Linked DNA regions of Oryctolagus cuniculus. Each later gene encodes a partner of the first gene's protein in a complex. Links are inferred from orthologs where the notes say so. Each region holds a gene or a part of one and is shown on either strand. Other genes may lie near its edges. The genes, in order: CHCHD3 and MICOS13.

Evidence for each region.
Region 2: CHCHD3 (region 1) and MICOS13 share a complex: the UniProt entries of both Homo sapiens proteins name them as parts of the mitochondrial contact site and cristae organizing system (MICOS) complex. The link is inferred for Oryctolagus cuniculus from reciprocal best matches to the Homo sapiens genes CHCHD3 and MICOS13.

The regions. Positions count from the first base shown.
Region 1 is NC_091434.1:168,944,116-168,948,410, forward strand, and holds the start of CHCHD3 (MICOS complex subunit MIC19), read right to left. Parts: upstream 2,866-4,295; 5' UTR 2,695-2,865; coding exon 2,614-2,694; intron 1-2,613. UniProt on the Homo sapiens protein: Component of the MICOS complex, a large protein complex of the mitochondrial inner membrane that plays crucial roles in the maintenance of crista junctions, inner membrane architecture, and formation of contact sites to the outer membrane.
Region 2 is NC_091447.1:60,302,017-60,306,263, forward strand, and holds MICOS13 (MICOS complex subunit MIC13), read right to left. Parts: upstream 2,842-4,247; 5' UTR 2,391-2,841; coding exon 2,362-2,390; intron 1,423-2,361; coding exon 1,245-1,422; intron 1,138-1,244; coding exon 1,086-1,137; intron 933-1,085; coding exon 832-932; 3' UTR 796-831; downstream 1-795. UniProt on the Homo sapiens protein: Component of the MICOS complex, a large protein complex of the mitochondrial inner membrane that plays crucial roles in the maintenance of crista junctions, inner membrane architecture, and formation of contact sites to the outer membrane.

The DNA.
Region 1 (4,295 bases):
AAAGCACGCAGGCGACAGCCAGAAGCCAGCAACTCACTTCCCAGTCCACTCGTGCGTACATGTCTTACCTAAGTTTGCATGAGTTAATGTAGCCATTCCCTCAACGGTTCTCCTGACAGCCACAAGGCACTGTCAGATGCTCACATACATGACGTCAAATCCTCAGACAAGTGCCAAAATCTAGATTTACAATCAAAAGTGCCTTGTCCAGAGCCACCCAGCTTCTGAGAGGCGGAGCTAGGATCCAAGCTCAAGTCTGCTTTCCTTCACGGTATTCTCTTTCCACTATAATACAGAATCCCTGTGAAATGATGGCTGCCTTTTTGTATTTTTTGTTTTGTTTTGTTTTTTGGACAGGCAGATTTAGACAGTGTGAGAGGGAGAGACAGAGAGAAAGGTCTTCCTTTCCGTTGGTTCGCCGCCCCAAATGGCTGCTATGGCCTGCCCATCCGAAGCCAGGAGCCAGGTGCTTCTCCTGGTCTCCCATGGGGTGCAGGACCCAAGCACTTGGGCCATCCTCCACTGCACTCCTGGGCCACAGCAGAGAGCTGGACTGGAAGAGGGGCAACCAGGACAGAATCTGGCGCCCCGAACGGGACTAGAACCCAGGGTGCTGGGGCCACAGGCAGGGGATTAGCCCAGTGAGCTTCAGTGCTGGCCGATGGCAGCCTTTAATAAAACCTACAGAGGGCCAGAAGCAAAGAACGTACCTCATCTTTCCAGCACAAGACAGAAGCAACCGTGTTCCCCTTTATGGACAGCAAATATGATCAGACACGTGCCTTGTCCAAGGTCACGGGCTAATAAATAGCTGACCCAAGATTTAAACTGAGGGCTGTTTAACTGTACGTTGGCACCCTTCTGACAATAACTTCAAAGCAATCAGAGTGACCTCTCAGTACTCAATGATTCCACCGCGTGTCATTTCCAGAGGAAACTGCACGGCGCTGAGGAAGGCCACAGGACACAGACAGTGGCACGAGGGTCACAGAATTTCAGACGACCAGAGATCTGAGATCCTGCCCCATCCTCTTACAGATAAGGAAACCGAAGTGCAGAGACCGCCAACCCGCCCTGCAGCAGAAGCACTTGACGCCACAGCAAACAGTGTAAGGGCATCTAGGTGAAGGGCGTGCTATGAAAAAAACACAGAGAGGTTGCAAGGAGCATGGCGTGAGCTCGAATTGAAGGAGCAAACATAAGACGTAATATCGGAGAAGGAAAAAGAAAAAACTGAAGAATGCACTCGTCAAGTTTTCTATCCAAGAAAGATACTTCTTCAAGTTCTGAAACGCAGATTTTTAGAGCACCTTTCCATTTCAGGAGAACACACATCCCCACTGCCACCTTCCTCCATCTTCATACTCGCTAGGCATCTCTGAGCTGTGGCCAGACTCGCCGCCAGTTCTGTCTGCTGTCCCCCTGTGTCTGTGTTAGAGTGACACACATTTTCCTAACTAAAATCTTCTCACCTAAAACTTATCTTGTGCTGCCTTTCCTCTTTCACCCTCAGAGGTGGAACACCCACAGCCTAAAGGCAAGATTTTTTTTTTAAATCTCTGCATAAAACTCAGAGTTTCCAGTCCTTTTTATTGTACTCCAAGGAGGAGCAACTAAACCACCAAGAACACAAGAATGCAGCCTCAGATGCTATATCGCAAAATGCAGCACTGTTGTTAATGAATCAAGAAACCTTGGTCACAGACCAAAAAGAGTTCAACACTGTGCGTATTTAGTAAGTTTTATTTCCCGGTAACACAACAGTAAATACATTCATTGAGACTGGTTGTGTGACAGGACAGCAGGGGAGGGAAAATACAAAGTATCTTAAGACACCCTGAAGTCCACATGGCTTTATTTCCCGGATGCAGGCTGGTCCTTGCAGCGGAGAGCGTGTTAAGTGAAGTGAGTGCTGGTGTGCTGACTCCCTGGAGCAAAGTCAAGTTTGAGTTCAGGCGCCAAGTACGTGGAGAGGGCGTAAGAGAACTCGCTATCACCTCTCAGAGCTCTGAAACCTCGCAGGCCTATCCCAGCCCGGGCCCGGCCGGCAGGCACCAGTCCCGGGAGCCACAGGTCACAGAGGCAGCGCCCGGGAAAGCGCAGAGACCGAGAGAACGGGAAGCGGCGGGGGCGGCGGAGGCGCGAGCCAGGGCAAGGGGTGGCCCCGGTGGGAGCGCGCTCAAGGAAGGACTGGAAGCCGAGGCAGGCGAGCCGGCGGCGGCAGCGCACCCGGGGAGGGAGCCTGTGCCCGCGGGAAAGCGGGCTGCGGGCCCCGAGCCAAGGGGAGTGACACCGGACCCGCTGCACAGACGGGGCCAGGGCGGCGAGGGGCAGCGAGGAAGCCCCCGAGACCGCCGAGCAGGGCAAGGCCAGCGGAGGGTCTCGGGGCACCCGGCGCGCCGCGGCCGCCCCGCACTGCACCCCTCACCCGGCCCAGGGCCTCTGCACGAACGCCCGGAGAAGTCAAACTCCCGCATCCTCCCCAAGGCCGGCTTCGGGCCGGTGAGGTGCAGGGAAGGCCTGGCTGGGGGTCCGAGCAGCGGGCAGCAGAGCGGGTCCAGGAAACGCAGGGCAGGGGTCCGAGCCGTGGGCCGCCCGCCCGCCGGAACTCACCCGGATGCCCTTCACCACGGTGATGTTCTCATTCTCGTCCGCCTCGAAGGTGACCCGGCGGGTGCTGGCGGTCCCGCCCATGGCTCCTGACCCCGCTCCTGCACGGATCCAGCACGGACCACGAGCGCTTCACAACTCCGCGCACACGCGCGCCAACGTGCCGGGACCCTTCCCGGGCTGCACGGGAGCAAGGCCACGACCCCAAGGAGCAAGGAGAAGGCGCCGGTCTGAGTTCCCGCCTCCTCCGGTCACGTGCCGAAACAGCTACACCTCCGATTGGTCAGAGCCGCGAAGGGCCCGCCTCCACTCGGCGGAGGGTGCTGGAATTGGCTGGCCTGGACCCGGATGCTATGGCAACAGGTGCTGTTTGACAAGTTTCCGGAGCTCCCGGGTGAAGTGGGAATTGTAGTCCCTATCGGGCACGAGGGGTGGTGGGACTCTCTTGCCTCGTCCCGGAGGACGCAAGGCATGCTGGGAGTTGTAGTCTTTCCCTCCAGAAGGGGTTGCTCTCTGGGCAGCTTGGAAGAAGTGCAATCATCGCTCAAGCATGCTTTGAAGACGTTATCCTGAAAACTCAGCAGAGTGAGGTCAAAGACGCAAGCTCGTTCTTAACGGATCTCAGGTTCATGGGGGAGATGCACAGCTTCCTGTAAATACAAATCCCTGAAGTAGAAGTTAGCAGCTCATTATTTTAGTCTGAGTCATTAAAAAAAATGCATTTTCCTGTATCCCCATTTCATAAACTATGTAGATGTTTGATTTCTTCTTGTAAAGTGAAAACTTAAATGCTGTCGTTATAAAATCTACAAATGAGAAAACACGAAAAGTACATTATACTCCGTATACGGAATTCGGTTTCCAAGTTTGTGTCTCCTTCCACTTCTGTTATATACCTTGGACCATAACACAGTTACGAAGAGAAGAATAGTATAAGTTAGTGGGACTATGGAAACCACAGCAGGCAAAGTTGAGAGAATCCATCTTGGAAAGTTTCTGGTTCACTAGAGTATTTCATTTCTACAAGACCAGTAAACAATTTTCAAGTTCCACCTACATCCTTACAATTTTTTTGCTTAACACTTTGCTCCACATTAGCCATACGACCCTAGTTCTTTTTTTAAGATTTATTTATTTATTTATTTGAAAGGCAAGAATTACAAAGAGGTAGAGGGAGAGAGCGAGAGTGAGAACGAGAGAGAGAGAGAGAGAGAAATGTCTTCCATGTGCTAGTTCACTCCCCAGATGGCTGCAATGGCCAGGGCTCAGCCAGACCAAAGCCAGGAGCCAGGAGCTTCTTCCAGGTCTCCCATGTGGGTGCAGGGGCCCAAGGACTTGGGTCACCTTCTGCTGCTTTCCCAGGCCCATCAGCAGGGAGCTGTTTGGAAGTGGACCAGCCAGGACTCAAACTAGCACCTGGTGTGGCACAGTGCTGGCCCCATGACCCTTGTCCTTACAAAAGTAATGAAAATATGCACTACCTTCAGGTGGCCGCTTTCAACATTATCAACAGCAGGCCATGACACCTTGTGTGTCAGACATCAACAATAATAATTTATCACTTATTCATTTTCTCTTTGTTTGAAAGGCAGAAGCAAAGACAGAGACAGAAAGATCTTCCATCCACTGGCTCACTCCCACTTGCCTGCAAAAGCCAGGGATGGGCTAGGCTCAGGCCAGGGGGC
Region 2 (4,247 bases), on another chromosome or scaffold:
CGCCCCGTGGGTCTTCGGAACACTCCTCGCGTGCGTGGATCTCAAACTGCCTCCCCGAGTTTCTACCACACACCAGAGGTGGCCTGTGCGTGGCTGCCCGAGGCTTTAGGACTGGGCGCTCTGGGGCGGGCTCCCGCCTGTCCTGACTTCCGGTGCCCACCCGGCTCCGAGTGCCGAGAAAGTGCAGGGCGCGCGCCTCAGGGCCACCCAAGCCACAACCGCGACGTGGGGCGCGCTGGCCCCCGGGGGTGTGTCCCAGGATTCCCCGGGGCTCACCCACCACATCCTGCGGTGAGGGGTCACTCGGGGTAAATCGCCGGGGGCTGCGCCAGGCCCGCAGGCAGGTGCAGTGACCACGACCCCCCAGGGGCAGCCGCGGTGCCCCCCAGCGCCGGCTCAGCCCCCCGAGCTCACGGCCGCCAGCGGTCCCGGCCACGTGGCCACTCGGCCGCCCTGCCTAGCGCCTAGTGCGGGCCTCTGGGCCCACCCCTCCCCTGTCCCCATGGAGGGGCTGATGGCCTCGGGTGCAGCCCCTCCCCCCGCAGCCGCCAGCTGCCACACCCCACGAGAGACCTCCATGGTCACAGAGCTGCGTGGCGAGGGGTGCTGCGGACCCCCAGGGCCGCCAGAAGGGACACTGCCCGCCCTGGTAGGGCAGGAGGGCCTTGGCACGCCCCCCGCCTCCGAGAGCCGAGCCCACCCTGGCCCCACCCACCGGCGCAGGGCCGGCCCCAGGCGGGCTCCCAGCCCCCCCCCCCCCCCCCCGCGGCGCCCGGGCCAGCAGCGGGTCAGGGGCAAGTGCAGAGGCCTTTATTGGGCCGGCCGGGCCGCTCACTGCTTGGTGCGCTCCCGCACGTACGCCCAGCCTTCCCTGGAGTACTCGCGGGCCTTGGCCGGGGCCGCAGACAGAGCCGCCATCACCGTGAGGATGCCTGCGGGGGAGGCGGGGCCGGGCACCGGGCTTTGGAGACCAGCGGGGAAACTGAGGCACGGCCCAGCCGCCCCTCCCCCCCTCGCCTCGAGATCCACGGGAGACACACAGCGCAGGAAGAGGGGTGGTCCCCAGGGGCGGGGCGCGCACCTACCTTTATCCCAGGTCTCTCGGATGGGGAAGCTGATCTTGGGAGGAGCCGGGAGCTGCGGGGAGGGGGAGGGGCACGGGCCGGTGAGCGGGGTCGGGGTGGGGGGGAGGGCGCCCCAGCCCCGCGCACGGCCTGAGCCGGAGAGGGCGCGCGGCCGAGTACCTGGGGCACCTGCAGGCCCGTCTGCTGGCACACGTACTGGCTGAGCTGGTACACGGCCGGCGGCACCACCTCCTCGGCCTTGCGCAGCGCCGCCTCGCCCCTGTCGCTGGGCCCCAGCAGGTCCTGGTCATACACCAGGTAGACGGCGCCCCCGGCCACGCTGCCCTTCAGGAGGAACCTGCGGCGCGGGAGGTGGGCGCTCAGGGAGGGCACAGGGCAGGGGCAGCGCGCACCCTGGCCTCCCGGGGGACGCCAATGCGGGACTCCCCGCGCCGGCCCCACGGCACAGGGCAGGGGCAGCGCGCACCCTGGCCTCCCGGGGGGCGCCAATGCGGGGCTCCCCGCGCCGGCCGACGGCACAGGGCAGGGGCAGTGCACACCCTGGCCTCCCGGGACGCCAATGCGGGACTCCCCGACCCCGACCCCACGGCACAGGGCAGGGGCAGCGCGCACCCTGGCCTCCCGGGGGGCGCCAATGCGGGACTCCCCGCGCCGGCCCCACGGCACAGGGCAGGGGCAGCGGGCACCCTGGTCTCCCGGGGGACGCCAATGCGGGACTCCCCGCGCCGGCCCCACGGCACAGGGCAGGGGCAGCGCGCACCCTGGCCTCCCGGAGGGCGCCAATGCGGGACTCCCCGCGCCGGCCCCACGGCACAGGGCAGGGGCAGCGGGCACCCTGGTCTCCCGGGGGACGCCAATGCGGGACTCCCTGCCCCCGAACCCACGGCACAGGGCAGGGGCAGTGGGCACCCTGGCCTCCCGGGGGACGCCAATGCGGGACTCCCCGCGCCGGCCCCACGGCACAGGGCAGGGGCAGCGGGCACCCTGGTCTCCCGGGGGACGCCAATGCGGGACTCCCCGCGCCGGCCCCACGGTACAGGGCAGGGGCAGTGGGCACCCTGGCCTCCCGGGGGACCCCAATGCGGGACTCCCCGCCCCGGCCTCACGGCACACAGGCGGCGGGAAGGGGCGACCGCGACCCCCGGTGGCTTCCGACCAGTCTGCGCTCCTATCTGAGCGGGGAGCAGACCACCGCGAGCCAACCGGACAGGCGGGGTGGGGGTCCTGACGGGGACTCTCTCGGGGGTTCGGGACCCCGCCCGGCCGCCCCACGAACCTCATCAGCGACCACACTCGGGCCACCATGGTCGCTCGGCTCCGCGCAAGGACACCACACTGCCCGCCGCTTCCGCTCGCGGTGCGCAGAGGACGCCGGGACCTGTAGTCTTTCCTGTCAGCCGCAAAGGCCTCCGGGAGTCGAAGTCCCGCTAAAGCCTCTGAGACTCGGGAGAAGGACTAGCGAGGGTCCTACGGGCAGAGAGGCTTCTGGGAAATGTAAGCTGTGTGGGCGACCCGGGAGCCGCAAGGCCGTCTGGGAAGTGTAGTCAGTACCGCCCCGTGAACTCGCTGGGCCGCGAAGCCTCCTGGGAAATGTAGTTTGGTCCTACCCCGGCGTCCGTGCGTGGAAAGAGACGTAGGGGGTCTGGAGTGAAGCCTAAGGGTGACCAAGAAGGGGTCAGAGGCGAAGTCAGCCGCGCCCGCGCGGGAGACAAAAGCCTTCGACCTAGGGAGCCCGCGCCGAGAAGGTGGTTGTCCCGGCAACGCCAGGGCGGGATTGTGGGCGAGAGGCGGGCCCTCGGTCACGTGATCGCGCGCCGTTCGGAACTTCCGCCCCGGGGGCGGGGCCACGGCGCGGGTGGCCGGGAGTTGGGCGGGCGGAGGCCGTTGCCAGGCAACGGGGGGCGCGGAGTCCTGGCGGCCCGGCCCCTCCCCCCGAGGAGGTGGGTTTGGCGTCACGTGACTCGGGCCCTACGGGAGGGGGCGCGGTCGGGGGCCCGGCCGCACTGGGCTGGGAAGGGAGACCCTCAGGGCGTTGGCGTGACTCCCAGGCCAGGACCCCAGCCTCGCCGGACACTGGGGCAAACAGGCCCGAGTGGGTGAGTGCGCAGCTGGGGGCGCGCGGTGGGTCCCCATTGTCCAGGGGGAAAGCTCCGGCCCCCCACTCCTCCCTCATCCCCGCTGGCCACTGTCGGTCCGCCCATCTCTGTCCATCTCACATCGTCCACTCTGCCTGGCTGCTGCGGGCGGGGCGGGGGCTGGGAAGAGGCCCCTGCCGAGGGGCTTCGTGCGCTGACCTGGGCCTGGGAAGGGGTCGGCCTGACCGGAAGCTGCCACTGAGAGCGGACAGGTGCAGCGACAGGTGGGCGGGGCCAGGCCATTGGCGCCCCCGCCCCAGGTCCAGCAGGAGGCGGGGTCCGGAGTCTGCGCGGGAGAAGAGGGTCGGGGGTTCCTGTAGGGGCGTTGCTGAGACCCGGAGGCCGTGCGTGGTGGGCGACAGCGTGGGAGGAGGCGAGGCCAGCACCTGGGCCCCCGCACCGTGTACTTGGGGCACGCTGGGGCCTGGGAGAGGCGGGTTGGGGTCAGCCGCTGAGCGGGGTCTCAGGACTCGGGCCTGGATCTGGAGATTGGAGACTTGAGGGATCCCCCCCATCTGCCCTGCGCCCCCTGGGCCGCCTCTGCCTTGGGCATCTTTGAGCTCCTGTCTGCCCGTGGCTTCTTTAGACAGACCCCGACCCACCCAGGCGTGATGGGCCGGTGCCTGCGCAGGACAGACTCCCCTATGAACCTGGGCTGTTTCTCCCTTTCTTTTTTCACAAGGGGTGTGTGTGTTATTTAATTTATTTATACAATGCATTTGAAAGCTTGAAGGACAGGGCGGGGTGCGGAGCTGGGAAGAGGTTGCTCTCAGCCCCTGGCTCACTCCCCAGACGGCCCCACCATAAAGGCTGGGCCAGGCAGAAGGAGCCCACTCCGGGGGCTCCCAGGCGGGTGGGTGGCTCCGAGGGTGTGTGTTAGCAGGGGGCTGGAATGGAGAGCAGACCAGGGGGCGGAGGCCGGGCTGCACCTGCCCCGGATGAAGTCAGGATTTCTCGCGGGGTTGGGGGGAAGACCAGGTGATCTTGCCGGGCAGCGGCAGGTGTGGTCCGGAAGGTGGCGGAGGAG